Arabidopsis thaliana: one gene and its partners. Each later gene encodes a partner of the first gene's protein in a complex. Each region holds a gene or a part of one and is shown on either strand. Other genes may lie near its edges. The genes, in order: MED21, MED32, AT5G03220 and AT3G09180.

Region 1 (4,603 bases):
GCCACCTTTGCTACAGCACCCTCTGCTACAGCCACCTTTGCCTCAACGTCTTCCTCTTCAACAATGTCCTGTGGGTTTCGATTTACGGGTTCGATTAGTTTCAAGAGGATGCAGTCAATTCTGATAACTAGATCATCAGTTTCCAAAAGATCAAGAGGTTTTCGGTATATCATTGGTTCTTGTTTATGGTTTGGCAGGATGTATCAGGTTCTACTAGCTGCAGGGGATTCAGAAGGTGCCAAGGCATTGATATAAAAAATTCCAATAGATGATAAAGATGTACAACATATCATCGAAGAAAGTCGGTCTGCATTTTCTCAAGCACCCAACAAGAAGAAACCTAAAAAGAATATGAGTGTTTCATCAACAAACTACCGTAAAACATCTATAAGTTAATATTGTTTGGGACCGAGAAAATTAATTAATTTATGGATAAATTAATAATTATCAATTTATAAAGAGATTTTACAAATTTTATAATTTCTTACAAAAATTTAATTTTAAAAGTGATCTTTTCTTTATAATCAATAATCTTTCTTAATCCGATTATAAGTAGAAAACAATTATTAAGTTTAAAAAAAAAATACAATTTTTTTTTTTCACATAGTAAAAGTATTAGAATTGAACTTTACAAAAAATTAATAAAAATTAAAGAAAAACAATAGTAGAGTCATATTTCACTAAATATTTTACATATAATATTTATATAAATATATATATTGGTAAATTTATACAATTGTTAATTTATAATATTGATCGGACTGGCTAAAGTTTTCTTTTCATCCTAAAGCTTCATCACGCAGACAAAAGATTGTTGGACTCTATACAAGTCTTGTGAGAGAGCGCAAGAAGGATGATGAGTTAGGATATCTTCACATGCTTGAGTACAAATACACAATCAAGATCCGGTTTTGGACCACAACTTATGGACTGGTCATTTCTTTTCAGCAACTTGGATTGAATGTGACAGATACCAGAGTTCATAGTAATTTGACCATCATAGTAATTTGACCAACACTGCCCGGAGAATCAAACATGATGTGTCAATCATGGCCTGTAATTGTGAAAATGATAAAGTGGATTCTCTGAGATTGTAATCAGACAGGTCAAAAAAGTGTAAGGTTAAAATAATGGTTCTGTTGTTGTGAGCTAACTAACATTCTTGTAATTGCTTCTACAACAATTTTTTGGTGAACCAACTTAGAATAGATATTCCTTATGAACCTAAAAGATAATTGTTGCTGAACCAAATCATATAGTTTCTAAATCAGCTCGACAAAAGGTAAACAAGCATTTCATTCAGGTTTCTTCATGTTCAGGCAATTGTCAGCAGCTTGTCCAAACAGCTCTTGTACTTGCTTTAGCTCCTTCTCTGTCACAAACAAGGTCACACCATTAACATCAGCTCAATCGTCAGAGGCAGTTGCAAGGGAAAACAAAAATTCCAAATTCTAGAACCACTAAAGATAACATCTAACCATAGTGCGTGTATCAACAAGAAAGTATACAAATTGAAATTTGAAGTGCATAATGAATCTGCTCCAGTTACAGACAGATAAGACACACCAACAATGAAGTGAAAACCTAAGATCGTTTTTTACCTGCAGCCTCTAGTTGCTTTTGGAGTTCTTGACCAACAAGATCATTTTCCACCTGAAGAAAAAACAGGACAAAGCGGTTAGACAAATAGAAGTAATCGGATTCAAGAACTCGACATATCGGTGTGACTTGTTTGACCTGGAGTTCAGCGATTCTTTTGAGCTGAGCACCTTCACCACCTTCTGACAAAGGAAGTGCAGCAACCAAAGCATCAAACTGTTTAGCAGCCTTAACTAAGCCAGCACTGAGCTGCTTAGGTTGCTCAGGAAAAGGCGTAGCATCATCAGTAACCGTAGTTGTAGCGGGTGGTTCAGGATAATTAGGTGAAAGCTGGACTGGTGGTGCATCCCTTTGCAGTGTCCCAAAAGCATTGAAAGTGATAGCAGCAATCGTATTCACTTGTTCTTGCAACTGTGAGATTATATCCATCTTCCAAAACCTTAAAAGACCTTGAACAAGTATAAAATTTACAGTAATCAATCACATATTAGACTTTTAACATATACTCAAAAGCAAGATATAACGTTCAGAGAGGATCTAGGAGATTCAAATGGCACAAAATTGGTGGTCAATTCCTGAATTTATCAAACAAGATTCTCAACAAAACTAGTGCCAAAGCATAAATCACTTAAAACCAGTTGGATTTCAGAGAGGATCAAAATGGCGAATCCTCAGGGAAAAAATTGACCTAATCGATTTAACGAAGCATAAGCTTTAACGAAGAGACTTACCCGTCGACAAGATTTCTCCGGCGACGCAGAGTCTGTTGGGTGTGGCAACGACAGATAATCGCTGCGAATTGGGGCGTTTTGTTGTTCTTAATAAACTTCGTTCTGCGTTTTGGGTTTGGGCTCGAAGATTTTTAAAATGGGCTTTTAAGGTGGCCTTTCCTTTGGATTTTTGGGCCCTAATTCCATAGAATTCGTAAGGAACGATTTCTGTTGTTTCTTTAAACCTACTGCTTTAATTAATTGACAACTAATTAAAAAAAAAAACACTGAAGTAGAATTGGGTGGCTGATTTTTGAGCCATAAACTATTTCGATTCTCAGCTTTCACCCCCGGACTTTTGGGCCCTTAAATTTTCACCATCAACTTTCATATTCCTCAAAATTACATCATCTACTTTCGAATTCATGCTTAAACATACATTTCCAATTGAACCATTCATTTAACCGGGATTAACCACAAATCTGCGTTTACTGTACCGCGATTGCGATTAACCTGACTAATACCCAGACCCGTTAAGAAAACGACGTCGTTTTCATTTCGTTTAACTCATCAAAAAGAGAAAGAAAACGACGTCGTTTTCATTCTTCTTCTTCTGCAAAATCGATTTGGTCGATTAGGGTTCTTCATTCGACAATTTTATAACAGAGACTAATCCAATACTACAATTTCACTCCAAAACCTCAACAACACCTACACTCTTCCCCAAAGCCATACAATAGATGCAACAATCACAACAGCAACCCCTACAGTCTTCAAAGCTGACTTTGCCATAACATGTCCTAGCTCTTCCACATTCTCCTTCATGGTCAAGAGTTCACCCTCCATCTTCTTAATCAGCTCTTCCTCCATCTGCTTAGCGTTTTTATTAAGGAGCTCCATATTAGCCATCACGTTCATTCTGAGGTCACTAATATTCTCTACAACTCTCTTACACTTCTCATTTACCATCTTAATTTCGTCCAAGAGAGCTTCATCAACCCATTTGAACAAGTGCTCTTCATTTTCTCTCTATAAAACATAATTTCCAATCATTTACTCCTTCAATCAATCAAATATATCACAAAATCGAAATGTGTACCTTCATTGCTATCGCACAACGGTAGAATCTCCGGTATGGATTCTCCTTTGTTTTCGATGTGAATGTAATGATCTCTTCTCCACACCAACATTTCGAGGGGACACCAGGAGGACAGACACGAAATCCTGAACTGGAAGCGGATGAGTAGTAGCTGTTGGTGCTCATTTTCTTATAAAATTGTCGAATGAAGAACCCTAATCGACCAAATCGATTTTGCAGAAGAAGAAGAATGAAAACGACGTCGTTTTCTTTCTCTTTTTGATGAGTTAAACGAAATGAAAACGACGTCGTTTTCTTAACGGGTCTGGGTATTAGTCGGGTTAATCGCAATCGCGGTACAGTAAACGCGGATTTGTGGTTAATCCCGGTTAAATGAATGGTTCAATTGGAAATGTATGTTTAAGCATGAATCCGAAAGTAGATGATGTAATTTTGGGAATATGAAAGTTGATGGTGGAAATTTAAGGGCCCAAAAGTCCGGGGGTGAAAGCTGAGAATCGAAATAGTTTATGGCTCGAAAATCAGCTAACCCAAGTAGAATCGATACTGATTGTGTCTAGTGCTTTAATTATCTCTAGTAGATCTTCAAGGTTTATGCCTTGTCCCTAGTACATTTTGCTATCTCGGTCTGGTGGGTGAGGTGTGATGGTGTTTGTACTTATGTCTCTGGTTTCAGCGGCTTCTTGCTTTCCTCTCTGTCGATTTACTATTAGTTTTGACTTCGGTGTAAAATCTATCCGATCTTATTGGTGTTTCCGGCGTTCACATTTTTTAGGAGAAGTTTAGGTCTTATTTTTCCCATAGTTTTTTATTTTCTTTTGAATTTTGTCTCTTGATTCAATTTCGTTGGTTTAAAATGTTTCCTTATATATGTTTTTGGTTTTACTTCCTTTTTTTCAGCTAAGTTTCTCAAAATATTCCGTTGGTCTGTTGGCTTATGTATTTCAACTTGTATTCTACTTTAGTTTCTAATATAATTCAGATGAGAAAAAAAAAGAATTAAAACTGATTTCAGTGTACCAAACTAAACTGAAATGAATGAACCAACAAATTTTAAAATAAAATATTATTAAGTTTTTGAAATAAAAGATCAAACTAATTTTTTTTTTCATTAACAAAAACAAGAAACCAACCCGTAAATCGGATTATAAAATATCTAATATCTTTGTTTGTTTTGTCCAAGTATAAAAAATAT
Region 2 (4,343 bases), on another chromosome or scaffold:
TCTAGAGAATGAAAAAAAAGAGTTACGACCATGACAAGTTATTTGTTATTCAAAATAAATTTTGTTGAAAATAATTTAATGTTCAGAATATTTGTTCTAAAATACATTTAGAATAACAAATCTTGAAGCGATTTTACACTTCGTTCTAATGACATTAACAAACTGAAAAGATATACAAATATAACGTTTAGCAATCTTTTTACAAAAACATAAGGTTATACTTTTCAGCTAATAAGAGTAGAAGTTATTGTAATGATTTGAGAACAACATGTATTTTCGTGATGCTACTAAATTAATATGTTTTGAGAGTTTATGAATTTTGAGAGTAGTGTTGTTATATGGGATCTGAAGCATCCAACATAGCGAAACATCATTCGTTCCATTTTTTTCGGTGGCATTCTTTCGAATTTGCGTCGAGTGTCACTTTTCTATCTACATAAACCAAAATTCTAGGCACTGAATGTCAAAAAAAAAAAAAAAAAAATCTAGGCACTATAATAAATGCAAGGAGGATGTATAGCTGATATATGATCTTACAAACAAAAACACTTCGAACAAAGGCGAGAACAAGTAATTAAGCAATGTCAAGAGCTTGTGGCGCAAACGTAATGTTTTTTTAATAATGGCATGTTATTTTTTGTTCTTGACGAATTCCTTAAATTGACATGAGGATAACATGCACATAAACAAATTGTCCTTCTTTGAATCATTCTGAAACTTCTCCCTTACACTTTTCTTTGAATGTAAAGAGTGATTCTTACATGAAAACAAAGAGTAATAATAATACTTTACAACTATATCAAATCAAAGATTTGAATAAGCATTTTATAAATATTGGATAAACATAGGAGAGTTTTATCCAACATCCCTAATTCCAATCATACATCTTCCGCATACGGTGTATCAAAGTACTGTGATAGATCCCATCTTCTTGAGCAACATAATTATACGAGCCACCATGAGGCATTCTCTTGTCTTGAACATATGCGTCAAACTTCTTTTGTACCTTGTAATCAGCTCCTTTATACATTGTACACCAGAAAAGTGTTTCTCCCATAACGTCATCGTGGAAACTAAAACCCCAATCTTCTCCAGGTTTCATATATCTTTCACGAACATCATTGTCCCCAGATTTACAACGTACCTTGAGCCATTTGTTGTGAGAAAGACTGTTCCTGAATAACAACGACGTCTTTTTTCCTTTAAATGGATTCGAATGGCCATATGCATTGCTAATCATGCATAGGGCAAAGACAACTAGAAAGATTGAAGTATTTTTCATTTTTTCTTTCTAGATGCTTAGAGGTTTTGTCATCGGAGTAATTTTTTATTTACGGTATTGTATATATAGACATATATGTATGCTATTTTTGAATTTACGTTCTTATTATATATTGCTCTCTTATTATTAGTATTTTCTATTAATGATTTGCGGTATCAAATCGTTTCAAACACAACAATAGATATGGATGGTTGAGTGGAGAACAATATATGGATTTAGATCTTTGAGTAAATATTTCCAAAGAACATTTGTTTTCAACACGGACAGTAATTTGACGTGATACATTTACCAAATACTACCTATTATATTCTGCCAATTCGTTACAAACAGATAAATAATTCGATTAGTATATACATATCTATCGTTTAATTGTGATAACTTTATTATTATATTAACACTAAAGTTGATTAAAATCGTCTTGATTTCGATTAGATGTTTTATTTTATAACATTAAACACACATATTTAAAAGATGAGAAATTAAATTGTATGTATATGGAATTTTAACATTAAAAAAAAAATCCAAATGACCAATCCGGTTTATGTCGGTCCGGTTTGTATTAACCAATCTTAATTTCAATTTTTACCATATAAACCTAACCAGACTATTACAATGAAGAAGAAGAAGAAAGAAAGTGACACAAATCGGACTCTCCGTTCATCGCCGGTAAGTTTCTCCTCTTTATCTCCGGCGGTTTTGGGCTGATTTTTTTAGATTCTGTCTAAAACTGCTCTAATGATTCAATTCCTTCACGAGTTTACGGATTCTATGCCGTGAATTTGAACCCTAGGTTTGCGAAAGCAATCGCGAGTTTTGCAATTTCGTTAAATTTCTGTCTCAAAGATGTAATCTTTTTGATCATTTAGCTTCCATTGCTACCGTAGCATCTTATTCTTTCCCTGAGGTTTTGAGTTCTCTCATTCTATGTGTAGCGTTAACGAGAACGAATTAAGATTTTTTGAGGTTTTTAGGGTTTCTTATTTCCAGATACTTTTGCTGGGATCTTACTTGATTCCTTTTGCAGTTTTTTCTTGTTTAACTTGAAATCTCATGATTGATACTTGGTTTGAGCAGTTATTTGAAGGGGAGGGATCAAATGGATAACATTGTGGACTCATTGAACAAAGCTTATGAGAAGTTTGTTCTTGCTTCAGCTGGTGTTCTTGAGTCTAAAGAGAGTGCAGGTGGACAAAAAGCTTTGCTCACTGATACTGCGTTGGAGAATTTCAAGGAGAAATGGGAACTGTTCCGTGTGGCTTGTGATCAAGCAGAGGAGTTTGTGGAGTCAGTTAAGCAGAGAATTGGATCTGAGTGTTTAGTTGATGAGGCTACTGGTTTAACTACTACTGCAGCAGGTGGCCAAGCACCAGCAGCGGTGACTGGTGCTGCGACTAGTCTCCCTCCCATTAGTGCAGTAAGGCTTGAACAGATGAGTAGAGCGGTTCGATGGCTTGTTCTTGAGCTGCAACGTGGCTCTGGTGTAGCTCCTGGTTCTGTTCATTCATCCTCTACCGGGTTTGATTCTAGATTCTCTGAAGACTCGACTCAATAGCGTGCCTAGTTAGTGTTAAGTTCGACAACCGCAGCTCCATAACTCTCGAGTCAGTCGTTGTGATGGGAAGAGTGGCCTAATCAGTGTTATGTTCTGTTATTTCATGGGATTGAGCCAAGCTAGAAGCAACACTGGGGGTATCATTTAGGACTTATGACTCTTACTAAATATTGGGCTTTTTATTCTGAATCTCAAGTAAAGAAGCTGTTCTTTTTTTGTGTGATTCTTCATATGTTATTATGTTTCTGTTGTTTCAAAAAGAATACTAATTTTGATCTTGTACATGATGTGTTTTTGGTTTTGTATTAACCATGATTATCAAGAGTTTAAAAATGTAAACGAACTAGTATAATTTTGAGTTTTGATTACCTCACGTTCACAGCAAAATCGTGATAAACGTAACAAAAACATGAACACTCACAACAAAACCGTGACAAGAAAAGTTAGAAACACACTTAAGACTTAAGTTATAGGGTTTGAACCCGAGACGTCTCACACTCCTCTCAGATAACAGAGTTAGTTTCGCAAACTAGAGTGATTTTTTGCTAAGGTTTAAGCAAACGAATCGCCAAAACCAGGATACAGAGGCTAATAAGATCATCTTCAAAAGTGTCTCACTTTTTCTAACCTCGCCTCCAAAGATTCTTCCTTTTCCGATTCCGATGAAAAGGAATTTTGGGTTTTAGGAAAGTTCGATTGGTTGGTTTGGAAACATCTCCCTAACACACGCAGCAAACACCTTCGTTGTTTACGGAGACAGTCACTTTTTGTGTACGTCTCTCTTCTCTTTGTTAATTCTGATTTCTGACAACCCTTTTGTTCAAATTTCTTCTGATTCTGTTGTGTGTTTTCTGATTTTTCAGATATATGGATTCGAATCAATCGATGCGGCTCCTCAGTGCTTGGATTGGTCAAGTGAGATTTTTTTTTGTATTCCTTGATCATTGACAGGCTTTAGCTCATTAATGCTTCAACAAGGCCTATGGAATTAAGTGTTTAAGAACAATTTGGTGTTGCCAATTTGAGTCTTCAAGCCATAACTTTGTTTCTGTTGAATTTTTGTATTCCACAGATTGGTGATCTTGGTCTTAATTTGCTATGGCGTTTTATACACATTGTTGTGAGCTTATGGTACATTGTCTCTGGCATATTTGAGGCAATAGAAAGCTATGCCATAACGTTAGGATTGAATAAAAAGTACGGTTCCATCGATCTTGAGAAACTCCGGTGTCTAGCTGTTGTAGTGGACATCGAAGCAGCTCAAGATGTTGCCAATGTTGTTGAGCTTTTGCAATGGCTAACCACCATTGGGGTTAAACAAGTTGGTCTATTTGACTCTCAAGGTACATGCTTTAGCTACTTATCTCGTTTTTTCACGTTCATTAAATGATTGCTGATGTTGGCTTCTTTAGGTTTATTGAAGAAATCCAAGGATTTGATCCTTGAAACCGTTCCAGGTTCCATGTTGTTAGAGGTATATTAATCTCATACCTTTCATTTAGTTTGCTG
Region 3 (4,543 bases), on another chromosome or scaffold:
GAGTTCAATAGATCTTAGCATTCGTTTATCTTCTTCATATGACCCCCATGGAATTATGAAATTTAGTTATTTTTTTGCTACAGTTTTTAAATTAACACCAATGAAATACATAAATTGACCCCTATGATCATTCCTTTATACATTTTGACCCCTAGAGCTGCAAGTTCTAGTTCCGCCACTGCCTATTTCTCTGTAGATTTCTGTAAAAATTGAAGTAACCACACAACAACCAAAATTCAACATATTTGAAACACACAAAAATATAAAATATTATTGATCATATCCAAAAAAGAAAAAGAAAAATAGACGATGATCAAAAACTCCAAAAAACAAAAATAACGCCAAAAGGAAATCGGAAAAATTCTCCTTCGGACCGAAACTATAACGATCCTCTAAACCCCTCCAATAAAAAAACACCAAGTCCTTACTTAAGATCTCTAAGTAATTAAAAGTTTACCTATAGAGAGTTATAATTAATTACATACTTATTATATTACTAATCCTGAAACCCAATCTTCTCCCAAATCGCGTTCCTCAATCGCCTTAGATCTCTTCCTTTCGCCGTCCCACCGATTCCTTCGTGCACCGTGAACGACGATCCTCTCCGTCTTGCCAAATACTCGTGCGGCGGAATCATCCGTCTCCCACCGTCGTTGCTATCGTCATCATCCTCGTCATCGTCGTCACTGTCATCGTCAGGTATCGCATGACCTCTATACTCACTCTTCAAGATCTTAGACCAATCGGGGATATTAACCGGAAGCGAACCGGTCTTTGTAATCTCCCGGTTACCTGAATCTCCGGTTTTCGTCGGTTTTCTCCGTAACCGAGAGATTGATATCGATCTTTTCGCGTCGAATGAATTCGGCAATTGATGATCGCCTAAGTTATGAATATCAGATTCGTCGAATTCAAAGACATTCTCATCGGACATCTCTGGTTTTGGTTCTGGATAGATATATTTAGGTTTGACAAAAAAAAGCTTCCTTGACGCCATTGATGAAAAACAGAGCGTGTAAAGAAGAATAAAAGAAAGATGATGTTTTTATGAAAACTGGATTCTGGGTTTTGATCAGCTTGTAGAAAAAATCTGAGAGGGTTTTTGTGAAATTTGAGATTGAAGGAGAAATGTGTTGAGATGATCATTTTTATAGAGAAATGTAGTAAAGAGATAAGCTCTCTCATTGGGTTAAACTTATGTGAGTTTATGACTTACACAGTAAACGACAAAAGTACAAAAGAAGATAAAAAAAAAAGTTTATAAGGTGTGGCAAGTCTCACGTTCTTATCGTGAGCTCTCTTTTTTTGTTTCACTCGTCCTTTGTTTTTCTTTTTCTTAAATAGTAAAAACTTTATGAGTTTATGATCAAAATGATGATGTTAATGGAATTTTTATCTTCGTCTTTGATTTAATTTAAGTTATCTTAAGATTTAATGTTGTTAGATATGATTTTTTTAGCTGTTTTAATTTTTTTTTGTTATTAAAATATTTGTTAATTTCTATTTAAATTGACAAAAAAATCTAGAATACACAAAAAATATATTTATTTATTATAAAGTAAAAATATTTACTATTTTTTAAATGTAAAAACGTAAGAATAACATCATTAGTGGGGTGATTAATCACATCCAAACAGCAGAAATCGAATTAAACTGAAAAGCCATTGTTTTAATTAAACCGAAACTAAACCAAAAGAAACCAGACTTATACGAACCGTCCGAACACGTAACCGAAAATTTACGAGAAAATCAAAACTCGTTTCGTCATTATTGACCTCTTGCTCTACGCCGTCTTCTCCAAAGCAAAATCAAAAGCTTCTTCGATCTTATTCTCGTCTGGTTATAATTTCCGATTCTGCATTCCCAATAGGTTCGTGTTTTTGTTAACCCTAATTTCTCTTTGTACCATGGTTGCAAATTTTATCCAGAATCGTTGGAGTAAAGTCTTAGATTTTGGATTGAATCGTTTGTTGCATCGATTAGAAACCTTAATTTTAGGAATCTGTTACTGATTTTGCTTAGTTTTTTATTTGGATCTGTAGGGAATAATGGCTACAGCTACGTATCCGCCTCCTCCACCATATTACAGACTCTACAAGGATTACTCAGAAAACCCTAATTCTGCTCCTGAACCTCCTCCTCCGATTGAAGGCACCTACGTCTGTTTTGGAGGCAACTATACTGTGAGTCTCCTCCACATTTCCCCCTCTTTAAAATCTTCATCTTTATGTGTTTTAGTAGTTTTCATTTTTTTTGGTTCGTAGACTGAAGATGTTCTTCCAAGCTTAGAAGAACAAGGAGTGCCTCAACTTTATCCCAAAGATTCTAATCTTGGTATGTCATTGTTTTAGCTTTGTGAATCAAACTCAAAACCCAATTGTTATTTGCTTTCTAGAGTACGGTTTTTGGTTCTTCCCTTAATTGGAATCAAACTTATTACATGAGTTCATTTGCCTCTTTGTTTCGTTGAAGAAAGTTTCAAATATCTTTGTGTGTAGATTACAAGAATGAACTCAGGTCACTGAATAGAGAACTACAGTTACATATATTGGAGCTTGCTGATGTTCTTGTTGACAGACCTTCTCAATATGCGAAGAGGATTGGTGAAATTTCTTCTATCTTCAAGAATTTGCATCACCTTCTCAATTCCTTGAGGCCTCACCAAGTAAAGAAGATCTCATCTTCGCTTAACTACAACATGATTTCATCAGTTTTTGTTTTCACTGTTTTGATCATCTTCTCTTATGTCCAGGCGAGAGCAACGCTTATTCACATTATGGAACTTCAAATTCAACAGAGGAAACAAGCTGTGGAAGACATTAAAAGGTGTGCATATTTTGTTTGTATACTGTACTTAATGGTGTGCTTATATCAATCCATCATCTGTTCAAAGATTTTTCAGAAACTTTGTTGGTAGTTCTTATGGGTCCGTTTGATGTTTTTGGTTGTGCGCAGAAGAAGAGAAGAAGCACAGCGACTTCTAAAGGATGCTTACCTCACTTTAGATGGTCAATAGAGTCTTTTTTTGTGTGTGTAAATTAGCAATTAATAATCTGTCTGTTATTGTTATTGACCTTCGAAGCTTATTATAATTTGTTAACACTAAAACAAAGTTAATTTGACAATCAACTAAGACTGAATAGTATGAGGATTGTATTAATTAGACCATAATTAACCGGGTTTTCTTTTGAAGGAAAAGAGAAAGAATAAACCGGTGATACAACCGAAACGGAACTATGATATATCGAACATACATTTGATGTGAATGGATCTGTCAATATCTCGAATAAAGAATTTGATTTAAGCAGTTGATTGACACCTGAACCGATGTTTTAGAAACTCATAGAAATACAAATTAAAAATAAATGTTCAGTTTATCCAATTGCAATTAGCCAGTTTCATTTCTTTTAGTTTTATCCAATCTAAAAACTCATTGCAGTTAATTTCAATAATATGACTCTATTGTGTATGAGGATTACTAGTGGGATTGTCCACAGAGGAACATGGCCCAACTCTGTGCACACATTATTGGATAGTCCAAAGATGAATGACACGTCGGATTATTACACCTCTATTCAGTAAACAAAATTGACACGTCCGATTACTTCACGTGGACTAAATAGGGACATGCCTTGTTCACTTACTTAAATAGTTTCTATCAAAATAAATAGCAAATTGTGGAATCATTTTTTGTTTCCACAATGACTCATTTTCTTTATCAATCTTGTATTTTTGTCAACCATATATCAAGATAAAACAAAAACATAGTGTTTAAAAAAGAATTATAATTTATTTATTTAGTGTTCAGCTGTTTGATATGACTTTCTTTAAATTATAATAATACAAAATAATTACATATAATTTAAAATACACCTGATAATAAAAGGATTACGTGGGCCAATAATAGGTGAGATATCACTTGTCAACATAAGTTGGCCCACTGGACCTCATCTCAATTTGAAAATTACGGATATTTCAGGCGTCAGTATCGCGACACGTCACTCAGCTCTCCAATTTTTTCATTCTCTTGATGCTGAAAGACGAAAATGGACAAAAGAGACCAGATATTAACGACGCTTGGTACATCTTGCGAAATACTACTAATATTTTACCAAATGCATGATGGACAAAATGAAAATGCAATAGCCAACAAATTACAAGTAGATGATATTATTGTAGAAACAGGAAACATATTATAATTGGTAAATCTGTTGGACAATAATCTGAACATAACAAAACATGTGGGGGACTCGAATAAATTTTATAGCTAGGGTCATATATAAAAGGACATTCACTTTTTGTTTAGATATATTCTTTGTAATTTTGTATAGACGTTCATTGCCATTATTGTAAACAATAAACATAAATAACCAATGCATTATGCATTATAGATATAATTGTAGGTTAATATATAGCAATGAAAATAGGTGGATTTAATCCTTATAAAATCTTTTAAAAAATCTAGATTCATAACTAGTTGTGTATAATACATATGTCAATTCTACAAAATTCACAACTAGATAATAAGAGCATCTCCATTAGT
Region 4 (5,659 bases), on another chromosome or scaffold:
ATTATCAATGATAGCAGATGCGAAACTTCTTCATCATCCTCCTCATCTGAGAAAGATAAGTCGATCTCTTTCGCCAGGAGCTCTTCATTCAGCAGTGAGGTTACCCGGTCCTAAAAGTTAAGAGTCAATAGAATAGATAAGTCAAGTACACAATCTTTCTACACCAAATACAAAGAACAAGCTTTACAACAATAGAATTACCATGCCACTTTGGTCGATAGTTCGTGCATCATGCACATTGATGTTCAAACTCAGCCCCAATACATACTGAACCAGCTTCTCGACTGGAATGGTTGGGTCTAGAATGTTAAACACCGAGTCTGCCGTGTATATAATAGCTGGACAACATGCCACTGTCACAAGAACTAAGGCATGAGGAAACCCTTGTATAGCTGTGGTATCTTGTGCAAGCTCCTTGGCTGTTCTTTGCTTGGCGCTTCGAATAGTCGCGAGAAACGAAGTTCTACCCCAAGGATATTTAAGAAAGGATTCTACATCTTTTACCATCTCTACATGGTCAGGATCGATGATAGTTCGCGAACATGTCGGGCAAAGAATCCCATCAACTAGTAGCAGCAACGATAGGCGAAATCGAGTCAACGGGTCTTTGTATTTCTTCCCCATAGATAGCTTCCCAACAATCCATTGTGAAGTAGGCTTTCTCTCTTTCCCAAATAATGCCTTGTAGAACCTCGTAGGATTCTGAACCGCTTTCATTTTCCCTCTTGTCCTTGCATCCTTTTTGTTGAATCCAGATTTGCTGCAGTTAAGCCCGGTAACAAGTGCAAAATCATCAATGGCAAATCGAATTGGCTTCCCTGCAAACACCCACCACATTTCATACTTCTTATCTGTCACCAACTGCCTAGATAGAATGTAATGTAAGAACATTACAGAAAACTGATGCGTCCCCATTTGCAACAGAAATCCAAACTGCGAACCCTCCAGCTGCTTCAAATGGTTTTGATCTAGAGCAGCCTTGATGATCTCAATCCACCTAAGAGTAAAGTAATTGTTTATCCTCTTTCGGCCCTCAGGTTCAGAACCTAGCCGAAACAAACGCTTTGGCAACTCTACATCCCCCATGGAACAGATACACTGAAATACAAATGTCCACGTATCACTTTTTTGATGCTGCTACTTACACAAATACAAAATATATAAATCTTAGATGTAAATATATGTTATTAACAGACTCAACCAATATAGCCTCAGCTTTCCGTTACTATCAACAACAACAAATGGATTACATAGAAGTTGAGTTAAATATTAAACCTTCATAACACCAATTAGTGGAATATCGGATTAACCAGCAAAGATTCACTAACTAAAGCTACTCAAATCCGAGTTTATGCTATTCAATACTGCAAATAAAACTAAAAATGTCATTAACACATACAACCAATTTGAGTAGCTTCCGTTACTATCAACAAACACAAATGGATTACATTGAAGTAGAGTTAAATCCTAAACCTTCATAACAATTACAAATGAATATCGTATTAACCAAGCAGATTCCCTACCTAAAGCTACTCAAATCCGAGTTTATGCTATTCAAGCTCTTCAACACAAATTAAAAAGATTTTCCCAAAAGCCAAAAAATGGCATTTCATACCTTAATTTGGCTGAATCCCTTCGCCGACACCAATTGCCACAGAAATTCGAGTGTTACAGTGGAGACGACGGAGATATAAACACCTCTACTCCCGTACAACAAAACTCACTCAAGTACTCTCAACGGAATCAAAAACCCTCGATTGAGAAAAGAGCCAACATAAGTGTTGTACGAAACTCGGATGCTTAGATAGGCTCCTCCTCCAATTGCAGAAGATTTATGCAGTCCGATTGCCAGAAATCGAAGCCTCCACAGTCCCCAAATCGAAACCCACAAATTCAATCTTCGTAAACTCTAGAATCGTCACTCGGATTGCACACGCAGTCTGCTCTTCGAAACTTTCCCGGGTGTCGCTTTTTAAAGCCCAGAATTTTCAGATTTTCTTACTGTAACTTCTCTGAATGTTCACCTCTATTTGAATTTTTACAGAGTAATACATAGAAGTTATCGATTGAAAACTCAGAAGAAGAAGAATAAGCGCGTGTGCTCACGCACGGGTTAAGTTTGTCAATATTGCATAAAGTTCAATACATATTGGTTGAAGTGTTAGTTTTGCAATTATAATTTTTTTGTTGGCTATATTTGCAAATTTCCCATTTTTTTACATGTACAAACTAAAAAAAAAAAAATATTAAAGTGAACAAACTGTACATATGGGCTAAAAACTAAAAGTCCCACAAACATTGAGATTACAAAATACATTTTCAGTCCAACATGAGCCATAAAGCATTGCTTAATGGAGTAAAACTCAATTTAACAGAGTGGAATAAATTAAACAAAATAAGACGTGAAGGAGCAGAAGCAAGCATATCAACAAAAACGCCTTTGAAACGCAAACGCTACAAAATTGCGTCTGGCGTTACAGTAGATTGAGATTTGAACGTGAAATTCTCCGAGTCCAGAAACATTCCTCTCCTTCCGTCGTCGTCAAGAAGATCAATTTCATTGAAATCGAAAGAGTGTGCTTGAATCACAGCTTATGCAGACGCTACACCAGTCCCAACTTCTCCAGAATCCGGCCGAGGCGGCGAACAATCAGTCTGAATCGGACGCGCCGCCGAAACAGGTGGCTCAGGCCATGGAACGACTCAATCAAGCGGCTAGGGTTATCGCCGATATCCGCCTCGGCGCTGACCGTATCCTTGAAGCTATGTTCGTGGCTTCGCAACCTCGTCACACAGACATGCCTCTTCAGCTCTTTCTCAGAGAAGACGCCTCCATGCGTCAACATCTTCAGGATCTTCGCTTAATAGGTGCTGAACCAAAACTGAATCATTTTCATTAGTATTGATTGATTCTCTAGATTAGGGCTTTTAAGGATCGATCAATGTTTATTGCTTGGTTCAGGGAAGAAATTGGAAGAATCTGGAGTGTTAACTGAATCACTTAGGTCAAGAAGTAACTCTTGGGGTCTTCACATGCCTTTGGTTTGTCCAGATGGTGCAGTCGTTGCTTATGCTTGGAAAAGACAGCTTGCTGGCCAAGCTGGTGCTTCTGCTGTTGATAGAACCAGGTATCAGATTCGTTGCTAATCATTTTAAAGCATACTTAGGGTTTAGGTTCGAGTCTGCATATTAGGGCTGTTAGTGAAGCTTGGTGGTACCAACTTGGAGTTTCATCAGCTAACCAATTCTACTGAATCTCATGCATTCTCCATTTTCTCGCGTTGTGTATAATGACTGTAGGTTAGCTCTCAAGGCCTTCACGGATCAGAAAAGACGATTCTTCCCTCATATTGATGATGGATTAAAGATGGAACCAAGCTCAAAAAAACATCGTGCCTCCCATTTGCTATTAGAAAATGGAAGAGAGGAGCCGGTTGATTACAAAACATTGCCAGATATACAATCGCGTTTAGAGAAGCTGGTTCCGAGTGTGAAGGTGTCTACTTATGGACGATTGAACTGGCTTAAAAGAGCTAACTCTTTACCTGGGTCAGGTAGTGATGATCCTACAGAAGCATCGAAACCTATTTTCCAGAGTTCTAGCAAGCTGAGATCAGGGTTACAGACTGAAGTTGTCGACAAGATTGCTGTTATTGAGTTATCATTTCCTTCTCTATTCAGAGCTATAGTCTCGTTGAGTCCAGCGGGTTCTGTTGATCCAGATGCAGTTGCTTTCTTCTCCCCAGATGAGGTCACTTCCAACCTCCTTGCATTAAAATATACTGATTCTCATGTGAAATTGTTTAAGTTCTCATGTTTTAGCTTCATCCCTTTCTTACAGGGAGGCAGCTACTTACATGCGAGAGGCTTCTCGGTTTATCATGTTTACAAACACATAACGGTAATAAAGATGCGATTGATATTATATATAGTTTAACAAATTTGATTCATTGGGGACTTGCATTAATTAGATTTTTCTTGCAGGAACATGCTGCTACAGCCTTGCAATATTTCCTCGGCTTTGGTACTGGAACAGCTCTCTACTCTCTTCTGGTAAAGCATTTTACAAGCACACTTCAGTCTCTGGATAACATGAACCTTTTTTGTCTGGAAGTTAATTAACACCTTTCTCTTCTTCTTATGCAGCTATGGATATGCAGTTTTGAATCCGTATTTAGCAAACCTTGCACGTATGCAGACTCTCCGTAATTCTTCTAATACATTTGTTTCCCGTGGACTAACTTTTCATTTCTCTTCTGATGATGCAGTAAATGTGGAAGGCTATTAGCAATGGATAAAAAGTCTGCGTTAATCTTACCTCCTTTACACCGCGCTTACCAAGAATTGCCTCTTGCATTAAACCTGGACGTTTGTGAAGCTTACCACTCCAGTTGCTCTCAAGATGATACCTAGTACTCTAGTGATTAGGGAGGATCAATTAAAAGAAAGGTTAGAAATAAGTTCTAATAACATTTTGTATGGATCTTTAGTATCTGCTCTTCTCCTTGATATACCTCTTGTTTGTTGTTGATGTCCCATGTTGAGGTTTAGATTAACTTTCTTTCTTTCTACTCTCTGGTAACATGTGAATGTTGTCTTCTTTCTAGAGATTTGATCTTTGTTCACGAGATGACTGAACAGAGACCTTTTTTTTTAACTCGGTTCACATTACTCTGTTGCAGTCAGCATCAAAGTGAGAAAAAGACAGTGGGTGTTGATTTTTGCTTCCGATCCAGAAATATAAAACATGTTAAATGCAAGATCAATAAATTAAGTTATTTTGCAAGATCAAATAAGCTTACGGCTTCTTTCATAGAGATTGTACATGTGAAACCTGCAACTAACGAAGCAAATAAAAGAAAACACTAAATAAAGATAACACCAGAGGAAGTGGAAGAAGGTACTACATTTACACTACAACAAGACAACCTTCTTAAACCAAAGCCAAAGCCAAACAAACTTCTCATTACTTCTTGCCATCTTTAACTGCAACGACCACAATGCTCACTGCACATTCCTCTGGAACCACGGCCATTGACCGCCTAACACTGCAAATAGTCCAAAGATACATAGCTGACATTGCCCCTACGGCTCCACATACTGCAGCCAAGACCAGAGCACCAAGCATTCTCCATATACACTCACTATTTTCTCGGCCCTCTTCCATTTCCGTGGAAACGTCCGGCTTCAAACCTTCATTTGGTCCTAATGGCGCTGGTTGCACCCATATCGGATCAAGATGCCATATTTCAAAGCTCCATGAATGGAGAAAATGTGGCTTGGAAGAGTTCCCATTAGCAGAGCTTAAACCCACCATGACTTCACCACCTTTCCAAAGCTTCTCCAAGTCTACCGAGAAAGAGAAGAACGGATCAAACATCTTTATCGAACCACGTTTTCTGAAACGAACCCTCATTCTCTTAGAACTTGCCTCATAATCAATCATACAGCTCAAAATCCCTCCATCATCCATCATCAAGTCACCCACAAACGAAAGGTTTCTAATTTTGGCAGACTCAGGTCTACCAATTAAGACTCTTGCACGGTTTCCTCTCTTGGAGATATCAAACTCAAAAGCAACAACTGTCTCGTTCTTTGCATACTCTAATAGAAACCCTAAAGCAGAGGAACTGTAATCTTTCTTACCAAACAGACTAAG

Evidence for each region.
Region 2: MED21 (region 1) and MED32 share a complex: the UniProt entries of both Arabidopsis thaliana proteins name them as parts of the mediator complex.
Region 3: MED21 (region 1) and AT5G03220 share a complex: the UniProt entries of both Arabidopsis thaliana proteins name them as parts of the mediator complex.
Region 4: MED21 (region 1) and AT3G09180 share a complex: the UniProt entries of both Arabidopsis thaliana proteins name them as parts of the mediator complex.

Annotation. Positions count from the first base shown.
Region 1 is NC_003075.7:2,430,090-2,434,692, reverse strand, and holds MED21 (mediator 21), read right to left. Parts: upstream 2,442-4,603; 5' UTR 2,331-2,441; intron 2,049-2,330; 5' UTR 2,029-2,048; coding exon 1,738-2,028; intron 1,654-1,737; coding exon 1,602-1,653; intron 1,373-1,601; coding exon 1,296-1,372; 3' UTR 1,058-1,295; downstream 1-1,057. Other genes in the region: AT4G04775 (zinc ion binding protein), read right to left, coding at 3,021-3,338, 3,409-3,573. UniProt on the Arabidopsis thaliana protein: Component of the Mediator complex, a coactivator involved in the regulated transcription of nearly all RNA polymerase II-dependent genes.
Region 2 is NC_003070.9:3,970,847-3,975,189, reverse strand, and holds MED32 (mediator of RNA polymerase II transcription subunit-like protein), read left to right. Parts: upstream 1-1,895; 5' UTR 1,896-1,948; intron 1,949-2,356; 5' UTR 2,357-2,378; coding exon 2,379-2,834; 3' UTR 2,835-3,204; downstream 3,205-4,343. Other genes in the region: AT1G11765 (Plant self-incompatibility protein S1 family), read right to left, coding at 869-1,282; LEW1 (Undecaprenyl pyrophosphate synthetase family protein), read left to right, coding at 3,702-3,749, 3,907-4,177, 4,247-4,308. UniProt on the Arabidopsis thaliana protein: Component of the Mediator complex, a coactivator involved in the regulated transcription of nearly all RNA polymerase II-dependent genes.
Region 3 is NC_003076.8:766,090-770,632, reverse strand, and holds AT5G03220 (Mediator complex, subunit Med7), read left to right. Parts: upstream 1-1,715; 5' UTR 1,716-1,870; intron 1,871-2,042; 5' UTR 2,043-2,048; coding exon 2,049-2,183; intron 2,184-2,264; coding exon 2,265-2,334; intron 2,335-2,498; coding exon 2,499-2,665; intron 2,666-2,752; coding exon 2,753-2,826; intron 2,827-2,955; coding exon 2,956-3,016; 3' UTR 3,017-3,198; downstream 3,199-4,543. Other genes in the region: AT5G03230 (senescence regulator (Protein of unknown function, DUF584)), read right to left, coding at 497-997. UniProt on the Arabidopsis thaliana protein: Component of the Mediator complex, a coactivator involved in the regulated transcription of nearly all RNA polymerase II-dependent genes.
Region 4 is NC_003074.8:2,816,684-2,822,342, forward strand, and holds AT3G09180 (mediator of RNA polymerase II transcription subunit), read left to right. Parts: upstream 1-2,410; 5' UTR 2,411-2,594; coding exon 2,595-2,868; intron 2,869-2,962; coding exon 2,963-3,128; intron 3,129-3,300; coding exon 3,301-3,751; intron 3,752-3,841; coding exon 3,842-3,901; intron 3,902-3,984; coding exon 3,985-4,053; intron 4,054-4,146; coding exon 4,147-4,190; coding exon of another isoform or gene 4,191-4,209; exon of another isoform or gene 4,210-4,268; coding exon 4,269-4,413; 3' UTR 4,414-4,742; downstream 4,743-5,659. Other genes in the region: AT3G09190 (Concanavalin A-like lectin family protein), read right to left, coding at 4,967-5,659. UniProt on the Arabidopsis thaliana protein: Component of the Mediator complex, a coactivator involved in the regulated transcription of nearly all RNA polymerase II-dependent genes.